4 linked regions of the Oryza sativa Japonica Group genome follow. The protein of the gene in region 1 binds, or shares a complex with, the protein of each later gene. Links are inferred from orthologs where the notes say so. Each region holds a gene or a part of one and is shown in the gene's direction. Other genes may lie near its edges.

Region 1 (6,605 bases):
CATTCTTGTCTGCAGACTCACCGGAAGGCAAACAAACAGCAGAGTCCTCTGGATTTGACGTGTGTTCTTGACAAGGCCCTACAAGCTCCCGCTGTTGAAAACATACCTCACAAGACTATCCATGTTGTATGTAACTTTGATCATTTCTCTTTCAGGATGAGATACTCTATTCTTGCAATTACATGCTGCTGATTACTGGATCCAAGACTAACAGCTGTTCTTATATGGAAAAAAGGCCTCATTTAGTTTTTCCTAGGCCTCATCCCAGTTCCTAAACTGTTAGCTCAGCTTTTTTTTTTTGTCCCTAAACTGCGGATAAAACCCATCCTTCATCTCTGAAAACCAAGTAAAACTTGTCCTCCTAAGTACTTCATATAGTCAATATGCAAGTGCTAATGATTCAGACTTTGTTTGGGGCATGGTTGATTGACTCCGTTTGGCTGCAGATTCAGGACCTTTACAAAGAAGCTGGATTTTTGGGCTTCTGGAAAGGTGTAGTTCCAGCTCTTATTATGGTAAGTCTTATGTCGCATTTTCTTTTGCTAAGTTATTTCTTTTTTACAAGTTATTGTTTCCATGTTTCATCTGTCATCAGGTTAGCAACCCTGCAATCCAATTCATGTTGTACGAGACTCTTTTGAAGAAGTTGAAAAAGAGACGTGCCTCTAATTTGAAGGGAGCTGATGGACTGACTGCTCTTGAAGTAAGCTTTTGGCTTTTGGCTTTTCTGGTGACTGGGATCATTGTACAGATTTATTAGGATATAACCAATTTGCATCATGCTAACTTGCTGCATTGGGGCCTGAATCTACCCGTAACGCTGACTTGAAAGTTTGTTCTTCTAGTAACGATGTTTCATGTCCAGTAATTATATGTTGCATGTCTTAACTTCATTTACCATGATGATTTGCTGAAAACACTAGTATTTCTTATATGCTCCTAATACTACTATTTCTTTGTTAGTTAGCTATGTTATAGACCGTCTTCATCTCACGCTGTAAAATCCTTGTTCAGATTTTCCTTCTTGGTGCTGTTGCCAAACTGGGTGCGACTGTTGTTACATATCCTCTTCTAGTTGTGAAGGTGATTATTTGAACACCAGTTACAGCAGCAGCCGTTTCTGTGCACAATTGAGCAGACATGTCAAGTTAAACCATGTTTTTTTTTTCTACAGGCAAGACTTCAGGTGAAGCAAATAATTGATGATGACAAGAGGCACCGCTACAAAGGTACATCGCTGGCCTTTATTCTTTAAACTTCATTTTATTATTTAGAGTGAATTATTATTTAATGAGTGATGTTGCTCCATATCCTGTTTCTGATAGTCTTTACTTCTCTTCTGGTAATAATATTTGCTGTTCTCTGACTTTGTTACCAAATACGCTATGCAAATTTTATTGCTTGCAGGCACATTTGATGCGATCACAAAGATGATACGTTATGAAGGTTTGTCAGGGCTTTATAAAGGAATGAGCACAAAAATCGTACAAAGTGTTTTTGCTTCTGCTCTCCTTTTTATGATTAAGGAGGAACTGGTGAAGGGCGCTCGATTATTGGTAACCGGCAACACCAGCCTTGTTAAGAAGTTACCATCGAAGCCATTAAGATGATCTAGGTTGTACAAGAGTTAGTTCCCTACTTATACCACAATTGTTTCCATAAAGCGATGGACAGAGTTGCCAAGCGCCCCTGTTAGGAGATATCAAGTTATCTGTGAGACTCTGATCGACTGTAGGCTCTCCAAAAAAAGGAGATTAAAGATGTAGTACAATTACCACTGTGATTCTTGTAGGAACCAATAATGATGGTATATATTGGGTAGGCTATCTCTGTTGCTCGTGTAAAGTATACTGTTATGGAAGATTGAAACACTAGAAAATAAGTTGGCAATGAGAATCGCAAGCGCTAGTCATCTGTTCAGATTACTTGAGTTTCTTTAGCTTGTTTGTTAGAGCTAACCGAGAAGAGGATCGCAATCGTGAAAACTTCGCAAGTGTTCAGAACAAAAGTAGAAGTAGAAAATTTGGAGTTCCTGTCCATTTTTAGCATAACTGTGTCTATGGTGCGCCCCATCTGTCAATGTGGTTCTCAGGCAACTGTTCTGATACACAAGTGCTAATGAGCAATCTGACCCGACAAAAAGGAAATGAAATTTAATTTGATTATTTCAAACTCATTTTGGTGAAACTAAGCCTCCTTCTTTACTAAGATGCAAATTCTTCCTAACACATTTTTTAAACTGCTAAATGGTATGTTTCATATGAATTTTTTACATAAAAATATTTTAAAATATCAAATAAATCAATTTCAAGTTTAAAATAATCAAAACTTAATTAAACATAAGCTAATGGGCCGTTTTCATTTTGCTTTCCTATTTTATTTCATCTTTATTAGAAAAAAAACACCATCTAATAGACTAATACTGCCTCGAGGGTTTTTCTTTAACAATATCTAAGTTTTTTTAATGAAGAGATGCTTCTTCTAAAATCCAAACACATAGTAGTGTGTGTATCTTACTGGTCTGGCGCGACCGACTAAGCTGACACTCGCGAGAGTGTGGCCGGTCCGGTCGGGTGGGGGTGGATAAGGAGATAGAGAAGCGGCCGCTCCGCAGCTGCAGCGGCAAAGCCTCCCCGTCGTCCAGCCCACGCAGCGCACCGCAGCGAGCGAAGCCGCCGCAATGGCCGCCTCCTCCGTGGCCTCGACTCTCCTCCTCTCGCTCTCCTCTTCCTCCTCGCCCTTCCTCTCCCCCACCTCGGTCTCCTTCCTCCCATCCGCCGCCGCCGCCGCCTCCTCCTCCCCGCGCGTCGCCGTCGCCGCCGGCAAGCAGAAGGCGGCTATCTCCGTCCTCCGCGCCCTTCGCGCCGAGGCGGCCACCCTCCCGGTTCTCTCCTTCACCGGGGAGAAGGTCGGGGAGGTCGCCCTCGACCTCAAGTCGGCGCCGCCCTCCACCGCGCGCGCCGTCGTGCACCGCGCCATCATCACCGACCGCCAGAACAAGCGCCGCGGCACGGCCTCCACGCTCACCCGCGGCGAGGTCAGGGGAGGCGGCAGGAAGCCCTACCAGCAGAAGAAGACGGGGAAGGCGCGGCGCGGGTCGATGCGCACGCCGCTCCGCCCCGGCGGCGGCGTCATATTCGGGCCCAAGCCCCGCGACTGGTCCATCAAGATCAACCGCAAGGAGAAGCGCCTCGCCATCTCCACCGCGCTCGCCAGTGCCGCCGTGGCCGACGATGCATTCGTCGTGGAGGAGTTCGACGAGGAGTTCGCCGCGGGTCCCAAGACCAGGGACTTCGTGGCCGCGCTTCAGCGGTGGGGGCTCGACCCCAAGGAGAAGGCCATGTTCTTCGCCACGGATTTTGCAGACAATGTGCGGCTCAGCGGAAGGAACATTGGCTCCCTCAAGATGCTAACCCCCAGGACTCTCAACCTATACGACATCCTCGATGCCCGCAAGCTCTTCTTCACCCCGGCCGCCATTAACTATCTCAACTCCAGGTATGGTGCCACCGTTTTTGATGAATATGAGGATGATACCAATGGCGAGGATGATGGTGAGGAGGAAGCAGAGGAGTTGCAAGAAGGAGAAGGGAGCGCAGAGGAGGCTGCTCAAGGTACATAGCTATGCATGAACAATTTCCAGGTGTCTTTTTATTGTTTCTATGGTGGGCATGTGCGAAATGACTTTGAGTAACTAATGCTATCCAGTGATCCTTTATTTTACATGTTTTAGTTGATAGTTAGGAGAGAAAATGCTCTGCTTTAATGGCATGTACAGTAGTTTTTTTTTTTATCTTTTAACTCTTAGCTATGCTCTGTTGTAAATATCATGATCGATGCTATACGTATGCTGATAAAGATCCTGACATGCGTTTTAAGGGTAAAAACAAGATAACGTGGCAAAGAAACAGAAAATGTAGCCAGTTTTGTCTTATGAATACCATCTTAATTATTATGGAGAAATTCTTTGTGGCCTTGTAGACTTATGGAGCTAATTTTTTTTTCGAAATAGTTCTCTTATCCTTACCAGCATGCAAAAGGAAAAATGCTTACCATGCTAATGTACATCGTATGGTTTTTTTTCCTCCTGAAAGATCCAATAAGTCCATGACATAATTCAATGGTCTATTTTAGAAGCATGCTTAGAGATCCACCTACCCCTATGCTAGCTCTCAGTAGACCCACTGAGTCTGTATTTTACTCGTTATTTTGCACCTCCTTAGGGTTTTTATTCAGAGCTCATGAGCAACTCAACAATTTGCGAATAGAAAATGACTTCACCTAATGGTGGTTAAATTTTCGGCTGAAGGTGGATTAAGTCCTAAGCACTAAACTAAAAAATAAGAAGAAATGAGACTGCATGGAATCCATGAACACCACTGAACCAGAACTCTGGGGATACTGGTACACTCCTTATAATAGTGTCACAATCTGCTGTGCCACACAGCTACCCCTATCACCTATCACTTGAAACATTGTCAGCCATTGGCACTGTCATCATTCACTTCAAAGATGTTCTGTTAGACCTTAGAACCATCTTAATAAAGTAGTTAGCTGTGAATATGCTGGTTTAAGTTGCTTTAGAGGTAAAACCTAGTTAAACACATGTTTTCTCCATCACTCAAGCACTTCCTTTTCGTAAATACTATGCATAGCTACAGGACTAAGTTATTATTAATTGACATTCAGTTCTCTGTTACATTTTGGTGCTGCATATTATAACTTTCTCTTATTTTGAGCATTTCTCAGGAACTTCTTTTTGTATGACTTTCAGATGAGGCTGCAGAGACTGAGGCTGATAGCAATTCCTAGGGAAGGAGGTGTAGATCGCGTGTTTTTCGTTTGTTGGTCTGGTAATTGCTTCCCTGATGCAGAAGCTTTTTGGCTTACTTTTGTTGTAAGTTTATAATGTTTTTTTTTCACTGATGCAGTATATTAGATCTTCAAACTGCACATATATTTTCAAATACAATGTCGTGTCAACCACTGCATATTTTTCTTCCAATTTTATACAGAAAGTGCTTCCCAATCTTGCTTCAAAAAACCAGTGTTGACCTGCTGGTTACCACTAATTTTCTACTCCCTCCGTTTCATATTATAAATCATTTTGACTTTTTTTTCCTAGTCAAACTTATTTAATTTTGACCAAAATGATAGAAAAAATAATAACATTTTTAACACAAAACAAACATGTTATCAAAAATATATTCAAAGTTACATTTAATAAAACTAGTTTGGTATTATAAATGTTACCATTTTTTTTCTATATACTTAGTCAAACGTACAGAAGTTTGACTCCGAAAAAAGTCAAAACGACTTATAATATAAAATGGAGAGAGTAACATCTTGAGTAGGGGTATGATTACAAAATCTTGTCTCCTTAAATTGTTGAATTGTTCCTTGTTATGACTAACTTTTTCGCTGGGTGAGCTCTAACAAGTAACAACTAACAAGTCTTTTCAGAGGACTTGCTGCATTTTACAATGTGGAAAGTAGCCTAGCTCAACTTGGACATGGAGCACTGGAGCAGCATAGCCCGGGTTAGATGCTGATCTTGAAACTCTAAGCCCAGATCAGTCGTAAACAACAGACCATTTTGCTCAGGTTTACTTGTAGATCACCTGAGGGTTTAGTGAACCAACCCTCTGCTTATGCCTAACCATAATGATTCCATCATTTTTCTTTCTTACCTGGGTCATGCAAGAAGAGTTGTTGGGCCATCCTTAAGTCCACCCAGACAACTTTGGACCAGATCATCACCTTTCTAATTGTTCTGACATTGCACTACAAGTGGATTATGGGCTTATGGGCAAAGCTGCGTCTGTACTTTAGAAAGGTGCAAGATCTGGTCTTTTGCTATGTCTAGTATTTTATGTCATTTTTAGCTGGTGCTATCGGTAGAATTTACTTATAGTTTGCTCTGTCTTACTCTGCTTTCAACAATATCTAAAGAAATCATTTGTGAGATTGTGACTGACATAATAGTGCTGTATCTATGAACCGAAAAGGGAAGAGTCTTGCTTAGGTTGAGCCAGCTTCTTTGGCACTATCTTTTAAACTTTTTGGTGGGCAAAAAGCTATCCATATTATACTAGCCCACTATGCATAAAAGGCATACAAATTATGGGGATGGACCTGAGCACATAATTTCACTCTCTTTTTTTTTTCTTGAGACTGGCCATTGATTGGTTCTAGTTTGGAATATTGGATCGATTGACTATAACTGTTTCCGTCCCTACATGTTAGGTCTGCATTATGCTCCTTGGAAGGAATCATTAGAAAGAAAACTTACCACTACACTAAATGTCACTCACCGTATTAAGTTCTGTGCAAATATGCAGCAGAATTCTATTGTGCCACTGGCTGCTGTTGTGCAACTGAATTTACTGGGTGGGATTCTTAAACTAAAAATATACCAGATCATCTCAGAGTCTCCGGAAGTAACAGGAAAAACGGTTGATTCATCCTTCAGGCTACTGTTAGGACACGAAAACACCAGTGGAAGAAATAAGTTAGCATGATGGTATAAATCTTAGACATTATCGTCGTTGTCGGTTGCTTTTCGGCGTGTTGGTCTGATCTCCTTCGGAGCTCTTTTATCATCC
Region 2 (3,500 bases), on another chromosome or scaffold:
CTTTCTGTCATTGTGTATTCAGCTTGTTAATTTCTGCTTTACATCGTTGAAGTGTTTCTGGTTGCTAAATAGGACAAATTTTATACTTGTAGATATACAAATACACTTAATTGAACTTGATTAACATAATTCTGTACAGAGCACAGCTTAAGCAGGCAAAGGTGAACAGAGATGTAGTTAACATGCCTTGGTGCTGATGTGTGAAGGTGTTCCAGATGCTTGGTCTTCTGCTACCCTCAGCTGCACCACCCTCGTACTGTAAGTCAAGAAAGGCCAACTCTTCAGATTTCAGACAAAGACAAAACATGTTACAATGTGACAGTTAATTTTTGGCAACTCATTCATTCCTTGGTGCCAATCTGAGCATTATTCAGTAGCATCGTGTAACACGCAAAAATCAACGAAAACAACAAAAGAAATTCCTTCTTTTTTCTTAATTACAGGTGGAATTAATCAGCTGTGGTGTGAAACTGTGAACCCGTAGGGAAGCAGGGGAGGGAGCTCCCGCTCCTGCATGACGGCATCCGGCGGCGGTAGCACGGTCCTCAGCCACGCCCTTTGTTGCACGGCCAGTGGCCTCCGTCCGAGATCCCCTTGGTGCCGCGACTTGGGGAGAGAGGCGGTCGGCGAATCAAAAGGCAGAAGCGAAGACGGACGTAGCGATGCATGTGATTTCCTCCTCCCCATCCCCAAGCACGGCAACCGAACTCATCGCCCCATCCAGCGACGAGGTGGATCTATGCCACCGCCGCCGAACTTGAGGGGAAAGACGGCACAGAACGGCGCGCTGGCGCGTGGGAGGGTCAGCCTAGGGCGTCGGAGGGGCGGAGGTGGAGCTGGAGCGCGGGGAGGAGGAAGAGGCGGCGACATCGGCGTAGGAGGACAAGTCGACCTCCGACGAATGAGGCGGAGGAAGCGGGGGCGGGGGCGCCGGCGGAGAGAAGGGCATTGCAGGTTTGGTATAACTTTTTCAAAAAGACCCCTAAAACCTCACATATTACAACGAGGTCCACCGCAGCTATTCCACACCGTTGATCTGTGATCTGACGGCTGCGAGAGGGAGACGAAAGCTGGAATCGTGCAGCGCCACGTGGAGGGGTTATTTGCACGCGAATCCGCGTAGATTTCGATATTTAGAGATGTGACATGCATATTAAGCAAGTGAAAGCCGTCCGATAATGCTTGAAGATTCGTGCCCCGAGTGGCTAATCAACATGACCAGATAAACCCCCTTATCCACGAACCCCGACCGGCAGAGAGCGCAGACGCGAGCGCAGCGCAAAAGATGGCGACGATGTCCCTCGCCGCGGCGTCCCCCCTCGCCTCGACTCCCCGTGGGCTCGCCGTCTCCACTCCCCGCACGGCCTTCCTCGGCCTCCTGACCGGAGGGGCGTCGCTGGCGCCGTTCCCGGGACTGGCGGCGGCGGCGGCGCCGCCGCGGCTGCCAGCGGGGAGGGGCGACGCGGCCGTGGCCAGGATGGCGAAGAGGGAGCAGGAGCTGGAGGAGATTCGGGCCATGCCGACGGAGAAGATCGAGGAGGAAGTGGTGGACCTGAAGGGGGAGCTCTTCATGCTCCGCCTCAAGCGCTCCGCGCGCCAGGAGTTCAAATCCAGCGAGTTCGGCCGCATGCGCAAGAGGGTATGTCTCTTACTCCATGGGGTACAGATATACCACAACTGCTAATTCCATTGCGAAAGTTTAGCATTTACTCCTGGCCAAAATGCGTTCAACCTACGAGTGGAAATTCCACCTTCTACTTCCAAATGGGTGTGGAGTGGTCGCATGTTCTGCTCAGTGTGTTCTGTTTACAAGGCCCTTTTGTTCAACCTCTAGTACTGAGTTGATTATGTTCAGATATATTGAGTTGATTTCAGGTTCAGAATAGTGGAATAACTTACCAATTTGTTGGTGGAATTTTGCCTGATTTTTATCAGTTGCATATTGGCCCATACTGAATTTACAGATGATTTGGGTTAATGCTTGGACAATTTCAGTCTCAGAAGCAATTTTTTTTTACTTAATTTGATTAGAAAGTCATGCTGACATCCATTTACGTATTCTTACATAGTATCTACTTTGGGTTTGTAGTATTGTTTATTGGATTTTAGTGCATAGAGTACTACATGAAGAATGATATTGCAATGCAATGTGTATCTGAAGAGCTTTTATACTGTTCTTGGGAAAGTAGTGTTAAATTAACCTTCAGTGGACCAAAATTTAAAATGGAACAAAACTTTGTTCTGAGGACGTCAAAATGCAGATAGTACACAAGAACTAATTCTACGGTCAGTTATGTGATACCTTGTTCTTCTTGAGGGCTTCTGATAAGTCAATTGTTATGAATTATCACTTGCTTTGGAGTTCAGGTCTCCACCTCTGCTCAGGGACAGCACAGGACAAATAGTTAGCAGCAGAGTAATGCATACTTATATCTGCCTCGATCAATGCTTCTTGCCTTTTAGGAGGAGGATATCAGATTTTTTTTTCCTGTTGTTTTTCTCACCCTGCTCATCTTGCTTCAATAGCAGCTTTCTACTATCTAAATTTAGCATTGACTTGGGTTGTCATCTTCGCATCAGATTGCTCGTATGCTGACTGTCAAAAGAGAACGGGAAATTGAACAAGGAATCAACAAGAGATTGTCTAGGAAGCTTGACAGGAAATGGAAGCAAAGCATCGTGGTTAGACCACCACCATCTCTAAGGGAGAACAAGGAGGAATAGAGAGCCACAAAAGCAGACAGTCTGTAGAAGTCATTTCATGCATGTCTTGAAGGAAGGTTTCTTTCTCCCTGTGGTTTCATTCCTTATAATGGATTGATATGTAATTCACATTAACTGATTTCCAAGTCCTTGCTGTCAAAACCAAAAGTTCTATTACCAATTCCATTTGTGTAAATTTCAGTTTATTCAAAATGTGTTGTCCATATATGCACTTATATTACTGATATATGAAACTGTGCTTAACGAGTGTATGCTATACACTTGTTGAAACTCAAACTGCCTATTCAAATTCACCTGTCACAAAGTTGTGGGTACGTACATACTATAAGAGGCAGATATGCAGAGTTCTAAAGAAGTGTCTCTGGAATACGGAGTAACAAAAACAAGAGAATTAGGCCATGTCTATAATAGTTCGCTTGGAATTTTGGTGCCCTGCTTTGCTCCAAACTCAAGTTCACTGTTTTATCAAACGTTTCAAAACTGTACAACTGTCTCCAAGCCCACGTTCTTGTGGCTTGTTGTGTCGGTCACCTAGATTTATGTTATTGTTCAACACTGATTTATGCTTAAACTAGCTCTGTTAGACTGTCCTAAAGCATGTTGGGCTTTCCCCTTCTACTCTAGCTTTAGAGTATGCTGCAGGTATCTCTGCACAGAGCTAGGGAGCCATCCTAGATCCATCATCAGTTTCATAAGCAAGCCCAGGTGGCTTGGCCCTTCAGCCAAAACTTGTTATTCTGATCTCTTCAACAGATCTTAACTTGAGATGTAGAGAG
Region 3 (3,081 bases), on another chromosome or scaffold:
GGTCATCCTAGTTGCAATCGCCGATAGGTTGATGTCGAGTAGCCATTGGCCAGATTTGGTGGCCTACTGTAGAGTTCTGTTTTTCTTCCAGAAAGTCGCTTAGACCAGAGGGGCCAACTTCCTTAAGCCTTCTCCCTTGCAACCAAGCAAAGTCCCAGAATTTCGCTTTTGTACCATCTCCAACTGTCGTCGTCGTTCCCACAAAGAGGAGTTTGCCAATGTTGTCGCAAGGCGTCTCCGACCCCACTCAAAGCTTTCTTAGATAAACAATGTAGCAATCAGTGGCGCTTGGCGAGCCCATGGTTCAATTTTTCGTTTTCAGTATTTGTATTGGGGTGCTGATATACCGAAATTTGGTCCAGAATTATTTGAATTTTCGAACAAAATTTGGTCAAATTTGAATAAATATTACTAAATTCACACAAAAGAATAAAAAAAACTTTGGTCGAACCGGAAATTTGAACCCTGCGAGCCAGCCTGCGAGACTTGTCGTAGATTCTGTAAATCTTCTCTGACACTGATACAACGATGGCTCGTGCATCATCCTCATCCTCCTCTCCGGCAGCATTGATGTCCATGTCGAAGCTACGCTCGGCTGGAGGATCTCTGCACGCTCCATAATCTTGATGGGTGTCCGCGAGCTGAAGGAGCAGAAGCTTCCATCCCCAATGGCGCACGAGAGCTGACGACCCGGATCAACCATTGGCAGCAGCTCCTGTACAGACACCTCCTCGTCCTCGATGCTGAAACTGCTCTACGCCGGCGACGGCGACGGCGACGGCGACGACGAGGAGGAGACATTCTTGATGCGGTACACGGCGGCGCCGGCGCGTGCTTCGGCTTGGAGTGGGAGACGAAGAGGTTGTCGCTAGCTGCTCTTCTCATCACCGATGGGCACCCGCTTGGCCGTCGAACGGGAGGTTCTTGTCGTCGGCGAGCTCCCCCACCTCTTGCTATCCACGTCGAACGCAGGATGTGGCGGCCGGCGGCGGCGTAGGACGCGACGGCGAGCGCGGCCGGGCGGAGGGGACGCCGCCGATGCGGATTGTCGCCGCCACCCGCGGCGGCGGCGGAGGCGGCGAGAGGAGAAAAAGAAAATCAAAATCAAAATTTCTCTCCACCTATGACATGTGGGCCAACTGCCAAGCAGCCTTACTTGACGGAGATTAAATCTGGCCGTTGATTCTCCATCGGACGGCGGAGCGCTCACAGCAGCACAGGCTTATCTCCTCCCTCCGGGCTGATGGGTGGATAGGCTGACGACGGGCCAAGAAGCCGAATCCCACACTGCCCGTGGCCATGGCGCTGCTCCTCTCCCCGACCGTCTCCTTCCTCGCCTCCTCCTCCGCCTCCCCGCCTCGCGCCAGAGCTCTCCCCGCCTCCGCCAATGTCGCCTCCACCATCCCCGGTAACCTCCGTGAACGCCTTCTCCGTACCGGGACTTTTGCGCATAAGTTACTCGGGTTGTGGGGTGTTGGTTCTTGGATTGGATTATGCTGAGTGGGTACGAGGCTATCCATTGTTGTGAGGTGTGATTTGTAATTCGGTGGGAGGATTGGTCTAGATATTTGACGTTGGTGATTCGTGGCGTTTCTGATTCTCTGGGATGCGGTTGGCTCGTTAGGGAATTTCTTCAAACACGTCGTGTGCAGATGCAGTAATTCGTGGGAGATTCCGTGCATTTATCATCTCTGTACAAAGCTAGGTATAATTCATCTCAGTGAACTCTGCAGATTCTCGAAGCTTTGGTTCTTTCGTGCTTAAATGATAATATCAGATGCTATGTAAGCACCGGTCACTGGCAAAGGGTGACATTCGTAGTACACCCTACATTTGGGGCCTGATTGTTAATAGATGAGTAGATTTTACATATCTGTGCTCTGCTAAGATTCATCATAATATGTAATTGAGAACACTAGGATTGTTACTAGTTATTGTACTATATACTATCCATGAAGTGGCACACATGAGCTAGACTTATTAGCTTTCAAGTTTCTTATATGACGGAGATTCTATCAAAATTTTGAAAGTAGCATGCATGTACTCTGAATTCTATATCTAAAATGATGCACATTGAGGCTTGCCATTTGTCCTTTCTGATGCTACAGCCCCAAGGCTCCAGTGCAAGAATCTCTCCTCGCAGAGCCCTCTGAATGCTTCTTTCACCAAGAAGAGGCTAGTTTCTGTCCATGCCTCGGCAGAGGCTGGCGCAGAAGAAGCTGGCACAGATCAACCAGAGGAGCCAAAACCCACGGTTTCGATTGAGACAATGCCGCTCGAAACTAAGCAGAAGATGATCATGGAGCAGAGGGCGAAGATGAAGCTGGCCAAGAAGCTGAGGCAGCGGCGCAGGAGGCTTGTCCAGAAGAGGCGGCTGAGGAAGAAAGGTAGATGGCCACCATCCAAGATGAAGAAGCTCAAGAACGTCTAACCAGCAGTGATGTCGGTCGCTGTTCTTCTGTACACCTCTATGTTCTGTTCATCCGTCTCTGTATTTCCTAAGCTGATGCCCAGCGAATTTTGCTGTTCAAAATATGAAACACAATGTTTGCAAAATGTGATTATTTCTTTCCCGATGAAATTTCATCTTGTATTTTTTAGATAATGGATAAACCGGTCACCGTTAAAAACACACAAAGCCCAGTACTGAACAAATTTTCTTCTAACATGTCCCTCCTTTTTCTCCTTTAGGCTTTAGCTGTCCTACAGAAGTACCACTAAATCTAATGTGTGTTCCCATAGTGGAAATATCATATGCACCTTGATGCCTTCTGTGTTTGTCAAAAACTCAAAATCATAGCAAATTTCAAGAAGCCTTGCTGTGCTGCACTCTATATTTGTGAGGTATTTGCCTGTATATACACTTCCATGATGTGTTTTGTTAGGGCCTCTCACAACTCTTTCGTCTGACCTGATGTTGATTAAAGCACAAAGGATCAACCTGGACAAGGAAATAACTGGAGCAAATTCGGGTTTGTTTGTTGTTTGCCACTTTGTCAGGCACGATGTGAACAATCTGAAGAGTGCCATTTTCGATTTTTTTTCTGATGCCCTTCCTGTTGATGTGGTTGTAAAATTTAT
Region 4 (4,154 bases), on another chromosome or scaffold:
TCCACCACGAAAGGAGCTCCTCTGACTTAAAGTTAGAAGGATATGAGTCCTTGACAGGTGCGGCCCACCTTTATAGGCCCACATGTTAGAGATGCATGTCCCTTTGACTTAAGTTAGAGGAGCCTTGTCGGTCCACCACACACCAACACTGGTAGGACAGACAACAATCCTCCACACCGCCTGCGAGAGGGTCCTCTTCCTGTCTTCCTGGCCATCAAGGAGGAGAGAATCAACTCCACATCTTCTCGGGTGACCTCTTTGATAGCTCCTTCGGCGAGGGATGGGTGGGCGGAAGTCAAGGAGGCTGTTCTTGAAGACGGAAAAGAGAAGTAGGGGCCGGCTCGACCTCGACCCGGTGTTGCGATGTCGTCGCGAGCATGCCGGTCTGTCTCCTCCGAGAGCTCCACTGTCTCCACTTCAAAAGCCATCAACGAGGAGGAGCCCAAGAGCGATGTGGAGGAGTATGAGGAAGAGGAGGAGGTGGACCAGTGGGTAGAAGTGTGCTATCTGGAATGGAGGTTGATGCGAAGGGGATCTGGAAGTGGGAGCCAGACTTTTGCTACTGTCCCCATCTTGGATGCTCGCGAGAATGTGTGGGAGTTGGTGGTGTGCGACACGACATTGTCCCTCTAGTTCACTTGCTTCTTCCCCAACACCTCCATCAACAACGTCACCCTCCGCATGCGTACTCATCTTCATCACTACCGCTTGAGCTCAAGTTTTGCCGCCACCACCGCAGCACCCCCTTCCCATCCCCGCGGCTCCTCACACTCCTGACACGACTGGGCTTTCCTGCAGATAGCTCATGAGCTCGAACTCGCCGGCTCCCTCACCTACCTCCTCTTCTCCCCCGTCGTGGACCACTGGAGCCACCTCATCACTGACCTCCCACCACCATTACCACCTCCCGTGGATGGGCTCGCTGGCCGCCGCCCCTCTCCCCACTGGAGGAGATGGGAAAGAGAGGGGGGAGGTGGAGAGATGGGGAAGAGAGGGGACAGGTTGGGAGGAAGTCCACTTTAAATTTTAATTTTCTGATTGGTATGCCACGTTAGTGAAACCAGTCATCCATAATACCATGAGACTGACTTGGAAGGTTTTTCCAAAATGGGGGGGAGGGGGTGAAGATTGCTGGTATTGCGGTTTAGAGATACCATTAAACTCGACGTAAAATAAGGGATAATAAGTGGACTTATCACTGTGAGTAATACTAGTAGTAATGAGAGTTGGGCTTGGGCCGCCCTTTTCTACAGTACTACGATATATGGGCCCCTGCTCACACAGTACATAGAGAGACGATTATGATAGGATAGGAGAAACAAGTTGTACGCCACGCCGCAGCCGCACAAGACTTGATCCTCTTCTTCTTCTTCTTCTTCCTCCAGGCTCCAGTGGCGATGGCGACCATGCTCTGCTCCTTCACGCCCGCCACCAGGGCTCCGCTCCTTCGCACTTCCTCCTCCTCTTCCTCTCTCGGCTTCGCCACCTCGCAACTCGCCGGCCTCAGCCTCGGCCTCTCCGCCGCAGCCACCACCGCGCCCTCCGCCGCCGGTCCCAAGCTCCACCCCATCCTCGCGCGTACGTCATCTGCCTCCTCCTTCTTCTCTCTGTTTCGAGCCATCCACCCGCAGATTGACATTACAGTTTTATATTACACCACCAATGTCATTTCTGCTACTATTAAAGTTGTTACTTTATCCTTCGTTTTTTTTTTGCGCTATCCAATACTCCACTGTATATATACTACTACTAGAACCAGATGACCTATTTGTTAGTAATTGATTGCTTTAATCTCTCGAAAATAGACTAGCTGTCAATCTATTACCATAAACTCAGATCTTTCTTTGTATTTTTAAGAGAATGGAAGCTTTATTGAATTTGGTCGTTCTTTGCACCATGTCAGTGCACAACCAATAGATACCACACAACAAGAAAAACAGAACTAACTCAACGATTAAGGACCTAATATCGGAAGACTAGGTTGCCGCTCATGTGCCTGGGTAAAAAAAAAAAACCTTGACCACATGCTCCAAATGAAGACAAGCCGAACAGACAAAACCCCTGTAATCTGGCTTCTTGAGAATAATCCATGATCGGAGCCAATGTGTGATCAAGAAAATAACCTGCAAAGAAGAAGAAACAATTTTCCTGTCAAAAATCACATCATTCCTTTATAGCCAAATAGCCCAACAAGTCAACTCCTAGTAGAAAAGGAGGCCTAGACTCTTTGTTTTGTCGCAAACTCCATTGTCCAGACATATGTGACACACTCCTAGGTGAAGAAATGTTCGATGCAATCTGGATTAAAGACCAAACTGATCGGGCTAGCCGACATTCAAAAAATAAATGCTTTATCGTTTCTTCCTTGTGGTAAAAACAATAGGTCTTATTCCCTTTTCAATTCCGTTTAGCCAGGTTATCTTTTGTTAACACCACCCCTCGACATAAATACGATAGAAACATTTTCACTTTGAGAGGGATTTTTAACTTCTAGATATGTTTGTTAAAATTGGGAACTCTTGTATGTGCAAGATAATGAGTTTTAACCAAGAATCTTCCATCAGGTGTTAGATTCAATTTAAAGTCATCTTTCTCGTGTGACAACACTATATTAGCAATGCGTGGAAAGAGATGATTCCACGCCACTAACTTAAGGCCAATAATATCCTTGCGCCAAGTGAAATTTAACAGGGTTGTTTAGAATATATTTGAAATGGTTGCTTGTTTATGTCTGACAACCATCTCTTTGTTTCTCTAAGACATAAGCAGAGCTTCTTCTTCTTACTAGTGTATATAAGAAAGAAGGGGGAAAAGAAAAAATATAACTATTCTGGCCATTTCAAGTTATAGTTTTAGTTTTATTCTAAGTCAACCATTCATAACTTTAACTATCAATTTCTTATTTAAAAAGATAATTGTGACTTATCAATTTCTAGAAATTTGTAAAGTTTAACAACATGTTAATTGTACTATATATTATGAAGGTACTTTTCATGATGCATATATAAACACATAAATATTATGATATTAAATGTTTGGCTTATGATAAAGTTAAGGACAAGTAATTTAAAAGGGTGAGATTATACTTTATCTTTTGTTTGCATGATGCCACAAATTATAGAAACTAGTAGTAGTAGGAACAAGATGGCGTGTATGGTGATGTTGTTGTATGATGTGGGGGTGGGTGACTCAGGCCGGATATGCCCCTTCACGGACAAGAAGACCAACAGGGCGAACAAGGTGTCCTTCTCAAACCACAAGACGAAGAAGCAGCAGTTTGTGAACCTGCAGTACAAGAAGCTGTGGTGGGAGGAAGGCAAGCGCTTCGTCAAGCTGCGTCTCTCCACCAAAGCCCTCAAGACCATCGAGAAGCATGGCCTCGACGCCGTCGCCAAAAAGGCCGGCATCGACCTCAACAAGAAATAAATCAAATCATCATCATCATGATGCATACATACATGTATTCTCTCATCAATTGCCGCTGTGCTGAATAGACCAGAGCTGTATGTAGTCCATTATTAAATCCATTCATCTCGATGATGCAATTTATTGTAGAGTACTACAGTATGCATTCATCGGTGGTGGTGGCCGGCTTCGTTTCCTTAAATTTCCTTTTATCCCGTGTTGCTGCTGCAAGTCCGGCTCGAATTGTTTGCTACTAGTGTTTCATTTCGGTCGAGTTCCTAATTAATACTGTATGTTGGTTACGAATTATAAGATGGATGGATGTAACTTGAGCAGCATCAGGTCGTGCAGTTGGCATCTTGCGCTTTTCACTTTAGAGTGTCTTCCAGTCTAAGCTGAAATTGATTAATTATTTTATTTCCTTTTTGGCTATTGATATTTAATAAGAGCCTAAATGAAAGAATTAACTTGTACAAAATTGAAAAGCTGTTTGTTTTGTACAAAAGGAACTCCTACGCCAATATTGATTGTTCTACTGCTATGGCCTGTCTGGTTTGAGATAGCTGAAATTGATGGATTGTTTTATTCCCCTTTTTAGCTATTGATATTTAATAAGAGCCTAAATGAATAATGAACCCCTACAAAATTAGAAGGTTGTTTTTTTTCTCTCTAAAAATGTAGAGACGAGAAAAAGGTGTTGAGTTGTAGACGTGGAGCAACCCGGCAGCTCCACACACGCGCAACCTCTG

The links. The genes of interacting proteins can lie anywhere in the genome.
Region 2: large ribosomal subunit protein uL4c (region 1) and large ribosomal subunit protein uL29c share a complex: the UniProt entries of both Arabidopsis thaliana proteins name them as parts of the 50S ribosomal subunit. The link is inferred for Oryza sativa Japonica Group from reciprocal best matches to the Arabidopsis thaliana genes RPL4 and AT5G65220.
Region 3: large ribosomal subunit protein uL4c (region 1) and large ribosomal subunit protein cL37 share a complex: the UniProt entries of both Arabidopsis thaliana proteins name them as parts of the 50S ribosomal subunit. The link is inferred for Oryza sativa Japonica Group from reciprocal best matches to the Arabidopsis thaliana genes RPL4 and PSRP5.
Region 4: large ribosomal subunit protein uL4c (region 1) and large ribosomal subunit protein bL28c share a complex: the UniProt entries of both Arabidopsis thaliana proteins name them as parts of the 50S ribosomal subunit. The link is inferred for Oryza sativa Japonica Group from reciprocal best matches to the Arabidopsis thaliana genes RPL4 and PRPL28.

Annotation. Positions count from the first base shown.
Region 1 is NC_089037.1:8,801,185-8,807,789, forward strand, and holds large ribosomal subunit protein uL4c, read left to right. Parts: upstream 1-2,612; 5' UTR 2,613-2,680; coding exon 2,681-3,614; intron 3,615-4,774; coding exon 4,775-4,812; 3' UTR 4,813-5,029; downstream 5,030-6,605. Other genes in the region: peroxisomal nicotinamide adenine dinucleotide carrier, read left to right, coding at 16-126, 447-515, 596-703, 1,015-1,083, 1,175-1,229, 1,408-1,610. UniProt on the Arabidopsis thaliana protein: This protein binds directly and specifically to 23S rRNA. May play a role in plastid transcriptional regulation.
Region 2 is NC_089036.1:32,213,802-32,217,301, forward strand, and holds large ribosomal subunit protein uL29c, read left to right. Parts: upstream 1-1,254; 5' UTR 1,255-1,285; coding exon 1,286-1,639; intron 1,640-2,580; coding exon 2,581-2,724; 3' UTR 2,725-3,000; downstream 3,001-3,500.
Region 3 is NC_089035.1:9,871,216-9,874,296, forward strand, and holds large ribosomal subunit protein cL37, read left to right. Parts: upstream 1-1,253; 5' UTR 1,254-1,299; coding exon 1,300-1,408; intron 1,409-2,108; coding exon 2,109-2,431; 3' UTR 2,432-2,581; downstream 2,582-3,081.
Region 4 is NC_089039.1:104,682-108,835, reverse strand, and holds large ribosomal subunit protein bL28c, read left to right. Parts: upstream 1-1,354; 5' UTR 1,355-1,397; coding exon 1,398-1,578; intron 1,579-3,193; coding exon 3,194-3,426; 3' UTR 3,427-3,743; downstream 3,744-4,154.